Drosophila melanogaster: one gene and its partners. The protein of the gene in region 2 interacts with the protein of the main gene of each other region in a pairwise test. Each region holds a gene or a part of one and is shown on either strand. Other genes may lie near its edges. The genes, in order: Acph-1, Ir60a, CG2641 and alphaTry.

Region 1 (4,458 bases), on a different chromosome or scaffold from region 2:
GGCGGAAACGGCGATGGAGCCGAGAGCCTGACGCACCAGCATCCGCACCAGCACCAGCCCTACATCATATACTCGGATGACAAGGCCTACAGATAAGCCGGCCAGCCAGCCGGCCGATCGAGGGGCTCTTCATCTTTCCCACTCCTCCATTCTGTCCATTTCAATCTTAGTCAGTCAGTCAGGCGCATCGCCGCAAACAGGTTCTACATTATATCGCCGCTCTCAGCCACGTTGTATATAGCCTTAAAGCATTCTAACCGTAACCCTAACTGTATCTATGTCTAACCATAATTAAGTGCAACCAAGTCGCTTATGCGGAATAAACAAATCTAGTATAATTCATATTTCAAGTGTTTTTGACGGCGGGCGGGAAAACTCCAACTTATTTACTCAGCCGTCTTTTAGGTATGCCTGCCACAAGCTATAGACTACCAACTAACCCACAAAGTGTACCTTGTAAACAACAATTGTTTAAGCTCTTTAACTTCCTAGCCCAAAAACATTCGTTCTATGTTGTTGTTTCTTCCGGGATCTTTATCAAACGTACACAGAAAAGCAATTCATTACTTTATCTTGATTTAAATTGACTAAACCATAAAGTTTTGCCGATTTTGTTAAGAGTTTCTCCAAAAATATCTTTGGACAACAAGCCCTTTATCTTTACTAGGCACCAGAAAAATTCAAACATCATACAAGTCTTTGATTTGAGCGATTTTAATACAATAAATTTATCATTCATGATAATTTCATAAAAATGTATATGTGTATAAATATGTTATGTATAATATGTATGCAACTTCAAGATCGCTATTCACAGTCTTTGTATTCCATATCTTTCACTGAATAACAACAAAACCAGTTATTACTCCATTTAAATGCTATCGAGCTTGTGTTTTTCAATTTCAAATGCACAAACTTAAACTAACAAAACTAATCAATACAAACTGACTTTGTGTGAAATGCACGGCTTAACTAAGTAGTAACCACGAATAACAACAACTGTCGCCTGAGACTCCAATGACTTCCAAAATCAATATAGAAAACACCAAGAAAGGCAAATCACTTTGGCAACTAGAGAGCGGGCAAGGCTCTTAATTCAGATTTAAGTAGGGCCTTCAACTGCATGGCATGGGTAAGCCTCCTAAGCCATTTGAGAGTACGAGGAATACAGCTTGTAGTTGCGACGTCGGTAGTAGATCATGAGGCCATAGCTGGCGAACAGCAGCGCAATTACGATTAAAATGAGAATGCCTGGGGATGGATGAAACTCGATGATTTAATTCCATTGAAAACCAATTGCCGTTGACTTACCCGTCGCAGTTCCAAGATTGGCTTCCTCATAAGTCATCATCATCGTGGATAGCTTGCACTCGCGCTCCCAATCTACGGGCAAAACGTCCTCGTAGATGTTCATAAGTTTGGTCAGCGGACAGGAAGGCCCACAACCAGGTATGTCCAGAGGCAGGGGTTCAGCTGTGGTGTTCTTGTAGAAAATAGAGACCAACGGGGTGTTGGTCTCATCCACACGCAACTCCATCATTATGCACGCCGTGTAGGGAGGACTGTGCAGCTGGGGATAAAAAAAAAAAAGAACAAAGCCTCAATCCGCTGCTCATATGAAAACTTTGTCAAACTCCTACCTCAAATAATTTCAGCGCATTCAAAACGCTGGCTACCGTGGTGTCATGAGCACTGTAGACCCACATCGAACGATCTGGTTTTAGGCTCCCGGAGGATTTCTCTTTAAACCGCTGGAATATGTCCTTTAGCAAAGGCCCCGCCTTCAGTCTCGCCAGCTTTCGCGTATAAGAGCTGATGGCGAAAGCGAAATTCGATACATACGTGAGCTCCTCTCTCCCATAAACCATTTTAGTCCATTTTGGCAGTGTCATGTTGTACAGATTCTCAATGAACAAGGTGTTATTCAAATACTGGGCATCAATGAAGGTCTTCACGGGGCGTCCGCCTTTTTCGCTCAAATAAGCAAACAGATTTCGGTGTTTTTCGGTCAAGGCCTTGAATTCTGGCGATGATTCCAGGCTGGCCAGCTCATAGTCATAGGCAGGACAAGGTGCCTTAGCGGCCAGTATGGGATCCTCCCTCTCGGGCGAGGTGTGAATGGGTATGGGTTGCCAGTTGATGTCCGTGTTCCAGATGTCTTCCCCTTGCGGCTCGTAGAGACCAGCCAGATTCGACTGGGCACTCATCAATGTGCGATCCACGTCGGTGGACTGAACGTAGATGTTCTCGTTGGAGTATATAGGCGGTAGGAGGTTTGAATAGCGATTCCGCAGCCATTTTCCCAGGTCGTAGTGCTCTTGCTTGCCCAACTAAAGGTCGAAATCCGTGTTAGCCTGGGTCCGTCACTAGTGCGAGCCTTACTTACATTGGTCAAATCTCCCCAGCCGGTGGGCCAGAACTTCCTGTCGCCCCAGGGGTCCGTGGGATAGGGATCCACGGGCGTTCTGTCGCCGTGGCGATATATCTGCAAAGCATAACCGATAAAGCGGGAGCTACGCACACATAGACATAGCAACTCTTACGACATGCACAAACTTCAGCTGGCCTGGCAATGTGGCCGAAATCTCCACTGGATGACCTTCAGCATTAGCATAGCCATGAAGCGAATTGGCCAGCGCAAAAGACAGCAAACATATAACGCAGATCAAGATGAGCCAGCGCTGGCTTGGGTGGTTCCACATTTTGCGAGCCACACTTGTTACAAGTGAACCACAGCGACTGCGGGAAAACATATGTGAGCATGCGAATACAGGTTACGGCGTTTGGTCTACGGCTATAACGGGTATTAGTTCCCTTACCTCGACCGTATAACTGGCGATCTGTTCGTTCGTCGTTCGCATATATACAGCAGGCAGTCTGAAGTTTACCAAATTTCTGATTTCTTTGTTTATAATTTTGGGGACCTGTTTGATAACCACACAAAGCTTCGAAGTCTCGATAACGATAGTTGTCCCCAACCAACCCTAGACCCTAACAGTAATCTTTTGGCGGGATGATTTAAAAACGCAAATGGTGTTTATGATTGTATTGATTGATTGACTCGTCGTATCTAGTTGCACACAAGAAATATGATTATTTAAGTATTGCATAAATATCGAAACAATCTTAGACTACGAATAACAAATATACTGTTGATGTTGGTCTTAAAAGTACACGGCTATAGGACAAATTAAAAGTCGTCGTCGTTGGCTTAACTAAAAGATTCTGCGCGCGGAACAATGAAAAACAAAATTCGGCTATTACATTATTAAGTGGAGTACACGTGGACTGGCAAACATCGTTGCTGCATTGCACTTGCTTAAAATCTTCTATTGCCGCCCATATTTGGCCCGGGTCTGGGCCCGTTGAAGCTGGAAATGGCGATGATTGGGGTTAGTGGTTTTTATGCAGACGATATGAATGAACCTACCGGTTTCTTTGGCCTGGACCTCCGCCGCCACTGCCCAAGGGCGGGAACTCCGAGTGATATGCATTTATGCCATTCTGATTGTGATTTCTACCTCCTGAACCTCCGCGTTTGCTTGGGCCTCCTTGGGGACTGCTTGTCTCGTGACTGCTATCGCGTCTGTCATTGAATCCGCCTCCTCCTCCATTGAAAAATCCACGTCCTCCCGGTGGATTTCCTCTATATGGCAAAACAAGATATTATATATAATTTAGAACCCAATCTTATGCACAACTTACCCATTAGTCCCACGATTGCCAGAGTTCATTGGTCCATTGCCAAAGCGTCCGAAGCCCATTTGCTGCTGCTGATGCTCTACAGGCAGGGCAAATCCACGTCGATCCTGTCGCACATGGCTTGGACCTGGGCCGCCGCCGCCGGCCCTCTGATTTACGGATCCTCCTCCCCCGCTGCTGGAGCTGCCTCCCTGAAAGTCACTATTATTGCCTCCTCCCCTATATCCGCTGGTTGGACTGTTCTTAAAGTTTCTTCTGCCAGGCTGTGGTCCACTGTTGTCCCGCTGCTGAAACCGATTGCTGCCGAAGCGTCCCTCGTTGCCCGCGCTTCCACCGAACTTGCCTCCGCCTGCAAATTTGTTCCTAAAGCCCTGTCCCTGATTGGAAGACTCATTGTTCGGTGGTCCTTTCGAGTATGGAGCACTGCGCTGTTGTCTGTAGTTGGACTCGTTTCTCACGGGACCAAATTTGGCGGCCGAGGAGTTCGAGCTCCTTGGGCCTTCGTTGGAGAATCTGCCACCGACTTCCTCACGAAAGTTGCGCTTGAAGTTGGTATTGGATTCATGAGGTCTCTTGTCCGCCCCGCCACCTTGAACTGAGGATGATGAAATACTTAGATGCTGGATCTTTGGAGTGATCAAAGCTTACCCTGCGAGGGCCTGCGCCCCGGATTGTCCCCAGAGCCCGGCTGACCTCGACTGCCACCTCCCGGGCCGTACTTTGGCCTGCCCGCCTCCACCACAATGGGCTGGCCCT
Region 2 (4,893 bases):
GCGCCACTTATAGGGATATCTGCTTAACTCGTTCTTTATCTCTGTTTACGCCCAGAGTTTTCCGGCAGCAGAGCAGCTGGGAAAGCTGAGGCTGATTGTCAATTTGCGGAAAGCGGGGCGAGGAGCTCGTCCACTGCGCACTGCCCTGCCCGCCTCCACTTCCATTCCCGATCCCAATCCCAATGCCAATCCCAGAGGCACGGGCACAGACTCCCCGCCGTTGTTGTTTGCAAAAATAGAATTTTGTCTCTGATTTTAAGTATTTCGCGTGAAAAGTAACAGAAGCGACCCGAACGGCACGGGCCAGACCAACCACACTATACTATACTACACTATGCCATACTATATAGACTATAGACCAGACAAGCGCCCCAGACATCGCAGGAGGATGGAGGATGGGGGATGAAGGACGGGGGGACGGGCTTGGGGATTGCCAGTCAGAGTCAGAGTCAGTGTCTCTCAATTGCAAATTTATGTGAATTGAGTCAATTTTATCGCAGCCATCTAGGGAGTTAGTTTGGGTTAGTTTACTTTTGACTTGTTTGTCCCTGGAAAACTTTGCGTCGTTTGACTGGCGTAAATCGAACGACTGGAGCCACTTGAACTTGTCGCTGCCAGCGGTTATCCTTTTCTGGCTTCCTCCTCCTCCTCCTCCTCCTCCTCTTGTCACTCCTCCTGTCCTGCTGCTCGCTCGTGCTGACCAGCTGGGTTCGCCATCTGTGGATTATTAGCTCGCCAATGAACGTGAGGGCGGCCCAGCAGCTGCCCACCACCAGGATGAAGAAGGGTCCCTTCAGGTGCTCCGTGGTCAGGACGATAGCCGTTTCCGGGAACTGGGGGCGCATCTTGTTGATCCTGTTGAGGTACGTGTTGTTGTACCTAAAGTCCGCGTCGATCTTCTGAAAAATGCCCACGTCGCGCATGAGGCGGATGATGCTGTTCATCTCGAAGAGAAAGGGGAATCCCGCCTTCATGATCATCTGCACCGGACTGCTGAAAACGTTGTTGGGAAAGGCGTATATGACGTCCGCCAGGGGACTCTGCATCGTGTACATCCGGTTGCTCAGGATGCACCGCTGGCCCCACTTCACCGCCTCCAGGTTCTTCGATTGCGGAATGAACTCCGGCGAAATGTTGTATCCGTTAAAGATCCACATGTCGTCGTCATTCTCGAACCAGTCGCGACTCTCCTCGTGGCCGCCAAACGGAATACCCGCGGCCACCACTTCCGTCAGCTCGTCCAGCTGGTGAAGGTAGCCGGGATCCTGGAAGGTGGCTATCATCTTGGACGTGTATGTAGCCACCACGTTCAGGCCATACAAAGTCAGGGCCATGAAGAACAGCCTCGTCGTCTCGCAAATGGGTCGTTCCTGGACGGCTATCGATATGGTGACGGCCAGGGCATTAATGGCCGTAAGACTCAACTGTTGGTAATACTTCGGCTCCGGAAGAATCATAACCAGGGTGAACCAGAACAGCCAGCTGATTATTAGAATCAGGATGAATCCAATCCAGGTGTAGGCTTCGAAAATACCCACCAACGCCTGCCAGGCGGGTCTTCTGTCGGCCATTTTTATGTACCACGTGTGCGCATCCTGCAGATAGGTATCGGATCCCCAAAAATGGTCCGCCACCTCGTTGTCCGGATAATAGCCGCCGAAGACAAAGTCGCACTCGTTGTTCTGGACTTTCCCCAGTAATCCAGTCCAGTTAGCTGGGCCATCCATTTCACCACGTGACTCCAGGCTGCAGGTTTGGTTTACCTTACCAGTGGAAAATAGGATAGTTGTTAGCTTAGCACAATAAGCAGGACTTTTGCAAGCCAAGACGATCTTGAAGTATGAAAGTGTTAAATACTCACATCGAATTTCAGTCGATTTTTCATGAACCCCAGGATCCTCATCTCTAGTCCCAGGATACAGTCGGCCTCCACAAAGGGAGCAGAGATGGAGGAACAGGCAAAAAAGGTGCAGTTCCTGGGACTGAATCCTGATACGTAGTCCTGCATGGAGGCCTTAACGACAGCATTATTGGGGTAAAGTTTGCCATCGTGGCACTGGCCCACGCTCTGGACATTCAGAATCCTGCAGTTTACATTGCTGTAGTAATCATTGACCAGCAGATTGTAGTTCATGGTGGAGTTGGCATAGAGAAGAGCAACTCGGTGCACGTAAAACATTTCCATGAGGTCCTTGAAAATATTGGAGGCTACGCCAAGCGGTCGATTCCGACAAGTCGCATTATGAAAGAGCACCAGAAAACGCGCTCCTGGATTCCAGGATCGCATTTCGACAATTTTTTTCTTCATTAGCTCTTTTAATCGATCCACCGAGTCCACCACTATCACATAATTGTCCGCTAGGATCAGCTCTCCCTTGTCTTCGGTCCCATTCGTGATGTTGTAATCACTGGCCACGCGCATTTGGAAGAGTTCCTCCCTGTCCGGCGGCCCTGGATTCGTGACTGCTTCGTTGATCAGTTTGCTGAATCCTTCCTGGATCTGATCCGCCGGACTGGACAGATGAAAGGCGTGCACCAGCATCAAGTTATAGGCTCTGGTGAAGCGCTCCTTCGGGTTGCGAAAGAAGAAGATTTGGGCGAAGCTATCGAGGCAGCCCACTCCAGCCTTCCACACATCGGGACCCAAGTCCTTTTCGGGCAGCATGAAGATGACCGTGTTGGCCGTCTCATTCGAAAGATTCACTATCCCCTGGCACAGGTTTAAAATCTGCCCCAGAAAGATGATGATGATGAGACCCGGATTATTACACCACATTATTGCTTCTGTCACGTCGGACAATTGCGAATTAACTGCGGCTGGTGTGAGTTTCCGTGGGAAGGTGATGTGACTGATGTCCTACATTTGATTGCTTGGGTATATCGGTTTGGGGTCTGGAACAGTATTAACACTACACAGTGCCTCTGACTGATCCATCGCAAATCGCTGTAATATGATAATCCGTCCATTAAACAACCACTGCTGGCTTGTAAAAGTGCATTAAGTCATTCTGGAGTTTCGCGTCCGGAAGCGCATTCAACTTTCGCCTTTGGCCGTTGTTTGCCTTGTATAATTGACTGCTGTCAGCGTGCCGACAACGAGGATGCCCCCAGCAACAATAATAACAACAGCAGAAAACAACAAACAATCGCCATTGCAACATGCAAGGCTTAAATTAAAGCAAATATTTGCTCAGTCGCAGCGGCGCCACCGCCAACAATGGTCGAAATGCATTAAAACACTCCATCAATCCGAACCTTTTGGCAGGGCGGCCAAAAATACGACGGACTGCATGGTATAATGGCTATATGGCTATGTGGCGCACCAACTTCTGTTCGCTCGTCCGGATTGCGGGGGATGATGACGAGGAGGATGGCCCATGGCGTTGGCCGGAAGTAGCCGGTCATAAAAATAAAACTCGAGATGGCCGACCATCTCGCCAAGTCAATGAGTCATTTGCTGCAATGGAATGGCCATCCTGTCCTGCCCCTTTGGAAACTGCATCCTTGCCAGCTCGAAGCTCCCTGTTTCCCTGTGTCCATGTGGGTGTATCGGCGAGCTCATTTGTCTTAGCAGTTTGTCATTAGAAAAATTGCTCGTAAATTTCGCATTTAATTACAATACAAGAGCCAGCAAATTCAGCAAAGGGCCAGTGCCCAGGGGACTTGAGCGCAATCTTTGGCTGCAACAAAGTTGCAGCGGCATCAGCGAAGATGGATAAACAAAGTTGGCGAAAGGACAAGGATAGCCGAAGAGGGTATACCCTTTCGGATGCCCCGTAATTAAGCCAACTTGTATACCAAAGGTGATTTAAAAGTATGCAGTGAGAGATACAAAATGAGATTCTTTTTGACACCATTGTTATTTCATTAGTTAGTTAGTTAGTTATTGTTAAGTTAAGTTATAAGTTATAAGTTACGACTTATCTAACCAAGCTGATCCTTTAGTCAGGGAGGGTATGGCCAAAAGCCGCTGACTCATTTGGTTCAGTTCGGCTCAGACAGGCGGCAAAACAAATTGCGTGTGATAATTTAGTGTCATCATTTTTGACAAAGGGCGTTAACAGCTCACTTACTCCGCCCCTCGAAGAGCCGCCTTCATCTCGTTCTCCGTCTTCCAGATTTGTGCTGAACCTGAACGACTCGACGCCGCTGACGATTCGCTTTTCGGCGCCCGTGGGCCGCAAGATGTACTACAATCAGACAGGTAAGTCCGCCCCTTTGAGGAGCCGCATACCGCCACCAACCGCCACTAACCCGCCACCCAACCGCCTCTGCAGGAAACCCCCTTCGGCCGGCGGCAGTGGCACCTGGGCCAGGTGTGGCTGTGGGCAGTCTGGTGCTGCCCTGCGCCCTGCGTGGCCAGTACGACCTCTTCGTCCTCGCCCGCCACTCGGGAGCCCTCAAGGTGGACGCCCTGGCAGAGCATCCCCAGCACGACTGGCCCCTCCTCAACGCCACGCACCGAATCGCCATTCGCACCCAGAATCGCGTGCGGAAGCGCGAGATGATCGTCAAGTGGGAAAGGAGGTGAGATCTAGATGATTTTATTACACGGATATACTTATAACTTATGATTATTCAAAATCGTTTCAGCAAGTTTGATTTCCATGTCATGCACTATTGCCTGGTGATTCAGAGACTCTCCATGGACACGCCGCGGATGATCTTCACCAACTTCTGCCAGGCGGTGTCCGCCTACACGGACCAGCAGCCCATGACTCCCAGTTGCGCCGCAGGCGGTCCCTTGGAAGGGATTTGGGGTGCTCCACCCCAGCGGGAAAGGAGACTTAATCCTAGGCAGAACGTTCACATCGTGTGCACGGGGAAGAGGCGCCAACAGCTGCTGCGACGCCTTCTTCCGAGGAGCAGTTACCATCTGGACCTGTTCGGAAT
Region 3 (4,958 bases), on a different chromosome or scaffold from region 2:
AGAAGATAATGCTGGTGAAGCGCGAGTGCGGTCCGGTGGCTCATAATGCGCAGAGGACTTACACGGAAACCCTGAGGATTCCGGCAACGGCGCCCACCTGCGAGCACCTAAGCAAGGTGGTGCGCGTATCTTACGAAGTGCGTGTGGTGGCTGTTATGAACTGGCTTATGGCTAATCCCCGGCTCATAATCCCTGTGACTATTGGCAACGTGCCCCTGGCAACTGCGGTGTCCGGACCGGACTTCCTGCCAACTAACGCCTTCCCATCTGGAAGTTCGCTGCCTGCCGACTTGCCATGCACCTCTACAAGGGCCATGGAACTGGCTCAGATGGCCGCAAGCGGGGTCAGCAACTCCGGCTACGAGATGGCCGAGGATCTAGAGGACTTCGAGCTTCCAGAGGATGGAGATGATGAGTTGGAGGCCGCCGACGATTTCGTACCAGATTTACGTGAGTACAAGAGAACAAAATATTTCTAGCTAGGACTTTGTTATGAAAGATGTTAAATAGAGCCCTTATGTATATGTTCTTTATATTTTTGTTATGCTATTGTGAGGCGATAGTTTCATTCTTCATTCTCCATATTTTTTATGTCATTTTTTCTATAGCTCCTCCTACCTACGAGCAGGCCATGTTCATGACCACTGATATTGCGGACACGGACGCGAACACGGTCAGCGAGGCCTCCCGATTTACTCCACGCTATCCGGTCTTCGATGTGGACACCTTCCAGAGCCCGCCGCCAAATCCTCCCCAGAAGAAAAGGCGCCGCCGACGCAGACGTCCTGCCGATCCTGGACAGTCGAAGCAACAACCGGAGAAACAACCAGTGGAGTCACCCGTGCAGATCTGAGGGCAGTTATCGCGAAAAATCACGACTATATCTTATCTCGGCAGTATTTATTTCTTTTACGGTTCGCCAGTGTACTTACCAAAATGTTTACTATATATGTATGTATATCGGAATGATAAACAACCCAGAATATAAAAGTGTCTACTGGGTGATACGCGATAAATTGCGACTATAGCCTAGACAACCAAGTCCATGAAGGCATTGAACTACAAATTTATTTATTCATTTATAAATTAAATTGAGTGGAGGACTTCTAGCTCAGTCCGTGAGTTTAAATACTTATGAGAGCTAGAAATTTTGATTTACGCATACATGCTCCCAATTTCTAATTCTATTGCTTGACAATTTCCATTAAAATGCAAAAAAAAAATGTATAACTTCCTCTCTATCTGAGTAACAGGTATCTGATCCGGCCCATTCCGAATTATATAGAATATATAGCATAGAAACGGACATGCATTTATCGCCTTAATACTGATCAAACATTCTCTCGACTGTCAAGATACCCTTTGGTTGCTACGCACCACGATAGAAAATCAGGAACTTCTTGGACTTTTGCGCGTTTGTAAATGAGTACAAATCATCATTAACAAACGTAATCAACTATCACAGACTTAAGTCCATAGACGACTTAACTTGATGTGATTCTTTTTCACCGTATTTCGTCCAAAAAATAATAACAACGCGATAATAACAACTCAACTAAACTAGAGCTTTCACAGAACCCACCTGATTTTTGTTTACAAATTTTTAGATTTGTTGTTGCCTTATTCTTCGTAACAAAACAAACAAAAAAGAGAACCGTTTATCAAAATCCGATGCCTCTCAATTTTGTTTTTTTTTTTTAGTGAGCGGAAGCCCCAAAAGCTCGCTCACCAGAAAAGCTTTGGCTCTCGCCAAGTGATGATGTCACTGACATCCCAGCTGTTGCAGACCGGCTATTCTCATTCTAAATTCTCACTTCGGGTGCGACGCTTGTCTGGTGCTAAATAAATTCACGTTGCGCGTCGCCAGTGAATAAGATCTGGAATTTCGAAATATATGTGCCAGCACCCACATACTAAATAATAGATTGCATTTCCAAAATGCCTTCCAGCTGCTCTTTTGAGCTCGATCGCCGCGAACCCATTTACTACAGTGGTGAGACGGTCAATGGAAGGGCCATTCTGACAACAACATCCGAAAAGTCTGTGAACGGTGAGTTTTAGTCGTTAAAAAGCGAATGGACTGATATGTTTTTAATTTGAGCGTAATCACTGTTGACTCTGTGATAACACCAAGCCGGTTTTATAGAATGCAGCAAACAAACAAGTTTGTTGTAGCGCCATAAAGTGTTTTGCTTCTTATATAAGAAGGATTTTAGCGACCATTTATGTGGCTTTAATTGTCTCAAATGTTTAATTCCTAGTATCCTAAATTGCATGCCCTGATGAGCTCAGTTCGCCCCTAACTACAAATTCATTGATCAATTTTTGCGTTTTTCAAATAGCCAATTCTAAAAACAAACTTGAAAGCTTTACAAAAGATAACAAAAGTATGTATACAAGCAAACAAGTATTTGATACAGTGCTCTGTATCAATTTCCATGTTCAGTTCCATTTTTGATTGGCGTAATCTCATTCTGCACTTACAGCAACTCCTTCGGAGTCCGAAGAAGGCTTTCACATACGTTCAACATATAAAGATTCGTTTTCGGATACAAACCATATTCAAATATCACTCTCTCTCTTTTCACTTTCTGATTAGAGGTATACATTCTTTTCGAGGGCGAGGCAAAGGTGCGATGGGATGAGCGGCGAACAAGGACGAGAGGTGGAAAGACCGAGCACTACACGGAGTATTTCCGAGGCAAGCAGCAGTACTTGTACACCCGGACATCGGTCTTTGGATCCGGGAATCTGCCGCCAGGTACGCACACCTACAACTTCTGCATTCCACTGCCCCTGGAATGCCCCTCATCAGTGGTGGCCCAGTACGGAAAAATCTTCTACGAGGTCTCCGTGGTCATCGATCGCCAGTGGCGCTTCAACAACGTCTTCAAGCAGCCACTGACGGTCATACAGACCTACAACCTCAACATGAGCCCCCAATTGCTGGTGAGTCCAAGGACAGGAACAGTTTACTAAAAGTTTAGATTGCACTAATCGGTAGTAAATCAATGCAGTTTTAAATTGTCCTGCGACAGATATTTAAGGACAATTAGACGAGTCATTCAAGTATAGAAACATTGCGTGCCTTATGGACGTAAATTCCGAAGTTATTAAACAAACAAGGGGTGTGTTCATTCAAACCAAAGCTATGGGACTAAATAAAAAATTTAAATAAATTAAAAATAAATTTTTTACGATCCTAACCTGTAGAAATGTAAACAAAAAAATGTTAATTAAACTTTAAAATTATATCAATAAGAGTAATTAGGTAATATTAGTTATTCCTAGGAACTAATAAATGCACACTCTTTTTCGACAGATGCCCCTAGTCCGAGAGGACATCAAGCACTTTTGCTGTTGGCCCTGCAGTTCAGGCCCGGTTCTATCGACATTAACAATACCCTTCGGTGGTTACGCGCCTGGTCAGAAGATACGCTTTACTCTGGAGATTGACAACCAGTCGAGTGGCTATGATCTGAATGGGATCGAACTGAAACTTAAGCAGATTTACAAATTCCAGGCTCAAACGCCGCACCACAAAACTCGCGAAAAGGAGCACAGCCTCAACAAAAGTTGCCAGCAGGAGCGCGTTTTGAGGCTCTCAAAGAAAAAAATTGAAGGAACCCTGGCTATTCCAGCAGTACCGCCCTCTTCCCGCACCGAAGGCATCATTTCGGTTAGTTACCAAGTTATCCTCACGATCAGCACTGGCGACTGCCACGTGGACTCGGACTTTGAGGTGCCGATTGTAATTGGCACCATACCATTGATCCAAAGTGCCGAGAATCCAGCCAGTGCAGCACAGTGGATACCGGAAACGCCGGACACTCCTGCCGGAGCCGCCGCAGATCTGCCTCCCAGTTATGACAAGTGCAGTAAGTATATAGCGAAATCATAGATACTCTTCATTTGAATTTGTAAATGCTTAAAGGTGCTTGATCATTGTATAATTCTTATACTATTCATGTTTTTAGAGCCACCAACCTTCGAGGAGGCCACAAACTTTGGTGAAAGGTTCATCGACATCGATCAGGATGAGCACAATCGCACGGATGACTTTATTCCGCGTTACCCCATGTACACCAACTTTGCCATGCCATCGGCTCCACCTCAACCCCCTGAAGAGTTCGCTACCAATCAACCAGTACCCGTTCTGTCACTACCTCATGATCCCACTGCCCCATTGGTCGGTCAAAACAATACTGACCGTCCAACACAATCGTACGGTTGGAACACTAACTCATAAAAAAAAGAAGACATAATCTCATAAAATGATTTTACTTTGATTTAGCTTTGGATGTTACCAATAAACATAGTTTAACCGTTTATCGTGAAACTAAATCTTAGGAATATATATAAGTTATCCAACCAAATTTTCTAGTTTAGAAAGTCATCAATGAACAAAATTTCCTTGAAAATATATTTTAAATTCGAAATTCTTAGCGTAACACTCGCACTTATGTGACGAATTATCCAACTCTATCTGTAGGTTCAACTACAATATATTTGTTGGGCAATGGGCAATAAATCAGATTCTATGCAAATCCTTTCTAATTAAGTCAACAATATCGAATCACATCGCTAATATTCTCGATTCCACATAGAACACACTTATCAATACTTATCACTTACTTATCAATACCCACACATCAATATTTCTTTTATTAAATATAAACAAAATTTCAAAATTGGTACTTGAAAGTGAATGCGTTAAAAGATCGTTCTAGGTATATGATATTGATTCTTAAAATAAATCATTCCCTTGATTTAAAATTGCCACCAGTAAAAGTATCAGTTACCACTTGTGATAATGGAATAATATATATTTGTGTAATTTTGCTAGTGAATGAAATAAATTAGTAAAATAAAATAGTGGCGTGCATTTAATGAGACTTCACTTCCTCCGATTGAGTCTGGTCCATTTCGTAGTAGACATAGCGTGGTCTAAAATCCAA
Region 4 (3,458 bases), about 13 Mb from region 2:
TAAAATAAACTGACGACCGTCATAAACTGTTCATATATGATTTATTTCGAAAAATAATTAGGCGTTGTTGATCACCCAGGAGCGGAGGGCAGCAACATCGGCATAGACACCGGGGTAGTTAGCGGCAGCACATCCGTATCCCCAGGAGACAACACCGACGAGGACTCCGCCGGAGACCAGTGGGCCACCGGAGTCACCCTGGCACGAGTCCTTGCCGCTGGCAAAAGCGCAGATCATGGAGCTCTTGATCTGGTTTCCGTAGCCATAGGAGGAAGAAGAGCACCGGCTCTGGCTGACGATGTTCACGTTGACATAACGCAGCTGGGAGGGAATGGAGCTGGAGCCAGAGGACTCGGTACCCCATCCGGAGACGGAGGCAGCAGCACCGTTGGCGGGGTTGGAGCTAGCCAGACCGATGGCCTTGATGGTGGAGCTGAAGCTCAGAGAGGAGCTCAGATGGAGCACAGCGATGTCGTTGACCATGGTGTTGGCGTTGTAACCCTCGTGGTTCTTGAAAGAGGAAACCTTGGCGACGACGCCACCAGAGCTCCAGTAGCTGGATCCGGCGCGGATCTGCAGGGAGGAGGCGGACACGGACTGCAGGCAGTGAGCGGCGGTCACGATCACCCTGGCGGAGTAGATGGATCCACCGCAGGAGTGGCTGCCACTGCGCTGCAGGGAGATCTGCCAGGGGAAGCTGCTGATGGTGGTAGCAGTACCGCCGACAATGCGGCCATCCAACTGGGGCAGGAGACCCTCGGGGATGGTGCCTCCCAGGGCGCAGGCTACAGCCGACAACAGGATCAGGAACTTCAGCATGGTGCGATTGAATGGATACTCTTCGAACCGAAAAGTGTGCTTATATCGGGGGTCACTATCTCGGGAGGCGTTTAATCAATGGACAAGTGAGATTCCTCGTGGTTAAAGTGGATAACGATGTGGAGTGGTCGTCGTGTGATAAGCTGATTATTTCTAAATATCACCGCCTATATCGATGGTGAAAATGACGCAACAATTATGCTGAAGTTGCAGCTGTCAATCAAGTGGAGATATTTGCCGCGGGGACTGTATAAAAGGGGTTTTGATCCGCGAATCAGCATACAAACGATTAAAATGTTGAAATTCGCGGTACTTCTTTCCGTTTTGGCCTGCGCCTTGGCTGGCACCATTCCCGATGGCCTGCTGCCCCAGTTGGATGGTCGTATCGTCGGTGGTTATGAGACCAGCATCGACGCCCATCCCTACCAGGTGTCCTTGCAGCGCTATGGATCACACTTCTGCGGTGGATCCATCTACTCCCACGACATTGTGATCACCGCCGCTCACTGCCTGCAGTCGATTGAGGCCAAGGACCTGAAGATTCGTGTGGGCAGCACCTACTGGCGCTCCGGCGGCAGTGTCCACTCCGTTCGCTCCTTCCGCAACCACGAGGGCTACAACTCCCGCACCATGGTCAACGACATTGCTATTATTCGCATCGAGTCCGATCTGAGCTTCCGCTCCAGCATTCGCGAGATCCGTATTGCCGACTCCAACCCTCGTGAGGGCGCCACCGCCGTGGTTTCCGGCTGGGGCACCACCGAGTCCGGTGGCAGCACCATTCCCGATCATCTGCTGGCCGTTGATCTGGAGATCATCGATGTGTCGCGTTGCCGCTCGGATGAGTTCGGATACGGAAAGAAGATCAAGGACACCATGCTCTGCGCCTACGCCCCACACAAGGATGCCTGCCAGGGTGACTCCGGTGGCCCACTTGTCTCCGGAGACCGCCTTGTCGGTGTTGTGTCCTGGGGCTATGGATGCGGTGATGTGAGGTATCCCGGTGTCTACGCCGACGTTGCCCACTTCCACGAGTGGATCGAGAGGACCGCCGAGGAGGTGTAAAGCCAGACAAACACTTGAAATAAATCGCAATTGAATCAGCATTGATATCTGTTTCTCTATTTGGGCCCAATTGCGTCGCAGGTGTAAAGCCCTCGAAATTGCGGCTAGATAAGAATTGTAGCGTGGGCTGTATATAAGGTTGGACGGGCGGCATGTAAGCCAGCACTTGTTAGCAACGCCCATCATGTTGAAGATCGTGATCCTCTTGTCCGCCGTGGTCTGCGCCCTGGGAGGCACCGTCCCTGAGGGACTCCTGCCTCAGTTGGATGGCCGCATTGTCGGCGGCTCTGCTACCACCATCAGCAGCTTCCCCTGGCAGATCTCCCTGCAGCGCAGTGGCAGCCACTCCTGCGGTGGATCCATCTACTCTGCCAACATCATTGTGACCGCCGCTCACTGTCTGCAGTCCGTGTCCGCTTCAGTCCTGCAGGTCCGTGCTGGATCCACCTACTGGAGCTCTGGTGGCGTCGTCGCCAAGGTTTCCTCTTTCAAGAACCACGAGGGATACAACGCTAACACCATGGTCAACGACATCGCTGTCATCCGTCTGAGCTCTTCCCTGAGCTTCAGCTCAAGCATCAAGGCTATTAGCCTGGCCACTTACAACCCAGCTAACGGAGCCTCTGCCGCCGTTTCCGGTTGGGGTACCCAGTCGTCCGGATCCAGCTCCATCCCCTCCCAGCTGCAGTACGTGAACGTGAACATCGTTAGCCAGAGCCAGTGTGCTTCCTCCACCTACGGATACGGTAGCCAGATCCGCAACACCATGATCTGCGCTGCTGCCAGCGGCAAGGATGCCTGCCAGGGTGACTCCGGTGGCCCACTGGTCTCCGGCGGAGTCCTCGTCGGTGTTGTCTCCTGGGGATACGGATGCGCTTACTCCAACTACCCCGGTGTCTATGCCGATGTTGCTGTCCTCCGCTCTTGGGTGGTGAGCACTGCTAACAGCATCTAAGCTGGTACCCAGTAGGTTGGATGTGTCAAAAGCCTTCAATAAATATTTGCCATTCAGAACATAGATGATTTGTATTTGGTCTGGGTACTTTAACATAAGAGGGTTTACAAAATATACAGAAAGCTTTTGTATTTACTTCTATGTAGTTTAAGTTAGTGGTTAAGCCTAAAGAATAAAGTAGTGGAAGTTGAATGTATTACACATACCACTTATTACACCTTTCGTATTAACAATAGGGAAACAGTTCTCGAGGTTGCCCGCGTCACAGGTCTTATCTTTTGTAGGGTTCACGGGTATTCACATAAAGTAAGATAATTCAACGCACCTTCTGTGATTTTCACCGATTTCAATGGGCTCGAGTGGCTAAAGGTAAACATTTGTCCAGGACCAATCTAATCAACTTCGAGTGCATCGCGTGGCTAGGGTTCCAATTCATCTTCCATTGATAAGTTGAGTGATGGTCTGGACAGCTGTGGCAAGATTAATTAGCCGGAAAAAAATGAATAGATAAGATTGCACAGATTTGGACACTCGAAGTTGAACGTTTTGGTGAACCGTGACTGGTGAAATACTGGACGGTGTGAATAGATGGTAGGAATGGATTGTCTTCTGTTCTTTT

What was found.
Region 1: the proteins of Ir60a (region 2) and Acph-1 interact in a two-hybrid assay, tested with the Drosophila melanogaster proteins (one large-scale study listed by BioGRID).
Region 3: the proteins of Ir60a (region 2) and CG2641 interact in a two-hybrid assay, tested with the Drosophila melanogaster proteins (one large-scale study listed by BioGRID).
Region 4: the proteins of Ir60a (region 2) and alphaTry interact in a two-hybrid assay, tested with the Drosophila melanogaster proteins (one large-scale study listed by BioGRID).

The regions. Positions count from the first base shown.
Region 1 is NT_033777.3:29,990,443-29,994,900, forward strand, and holds Acph-1 (acid phosphatase 1), read right to left. Parts: upstream 2,835-4,458; 5' UTR 2,754-2,834; coding exon 2,544-2,753; intron 2,486-2,543; coding exon 2,387-2,485; intron 2,331-2,386; coding exon 1,641-2,330; intron 1,571-1,640; coding exon 1,312-1,570; intron 1,252-1,311; coding exon 1,142-1,251; 3' UTR 702-1,141; downstream 1-701. Other genes in the region: CG7896 (uncharacterized protein), read left to right, coding at 1-96; CG7903 (uncharacterized protein), read right to left, coding at 3,320-3,371, 3,431-3,646, 3,706-4,297, 4,351-4,458.
Region 2 is NT_033778.4:24,248,528-24,253,420, forward strand, and holds Ir60a (ionotropic receptor 60a), read right to left. Parts: upstream 2,777-4,893; coding exon 1,862-2,776; intron 1,764-1,861; coding exon 528-1,763; downstream 1-527. Other genes in the region: nord, read left to right, coding at 4,119-4,204, 4,278-4,527, 4,594-4,893.
Region 3 is NT_033777.3:7,792,271-7,797,228, forward strand, and holds CG2641 (uncharacterized protein), read left to right. Parts: upstream 1-1,798; 5' UTR 1,799-1,938; coding exon 1,939-2,050; intron 2,051-2,599; coding exon 2,600-2,949; intron 2,950-3,322; coding exon 3,323-3,878; intron 3,879-3,977; coding exon 3,978-4,249; 3' UTR 4,250-4,329; downstream 4,330-4,958. Other genes in the region: CG10086 (uncharacterized protein), read left to right, coding at 1-450, 609-853; CG18744 (uncharacterized protein), read right to left, coding at 4,887-4,958.
Region 4 is NT_033778.4:11,343,703-11,347,160, reverse strand, and holds alphaTry (alphaTrypsin), read left to right. Parts: upstream 1-2,041; 5' UTR 2,042-2,068; coding exon 2,069-2,839; 3' UTR 2,840-2,901; downstream 2,902-3,458. Other genes in the region: betaTry (betaTrypsin), read right to left, coding at 58-819; epsilonTry (epsilonTrypsin), read left to right, coding at 1,114-1,884.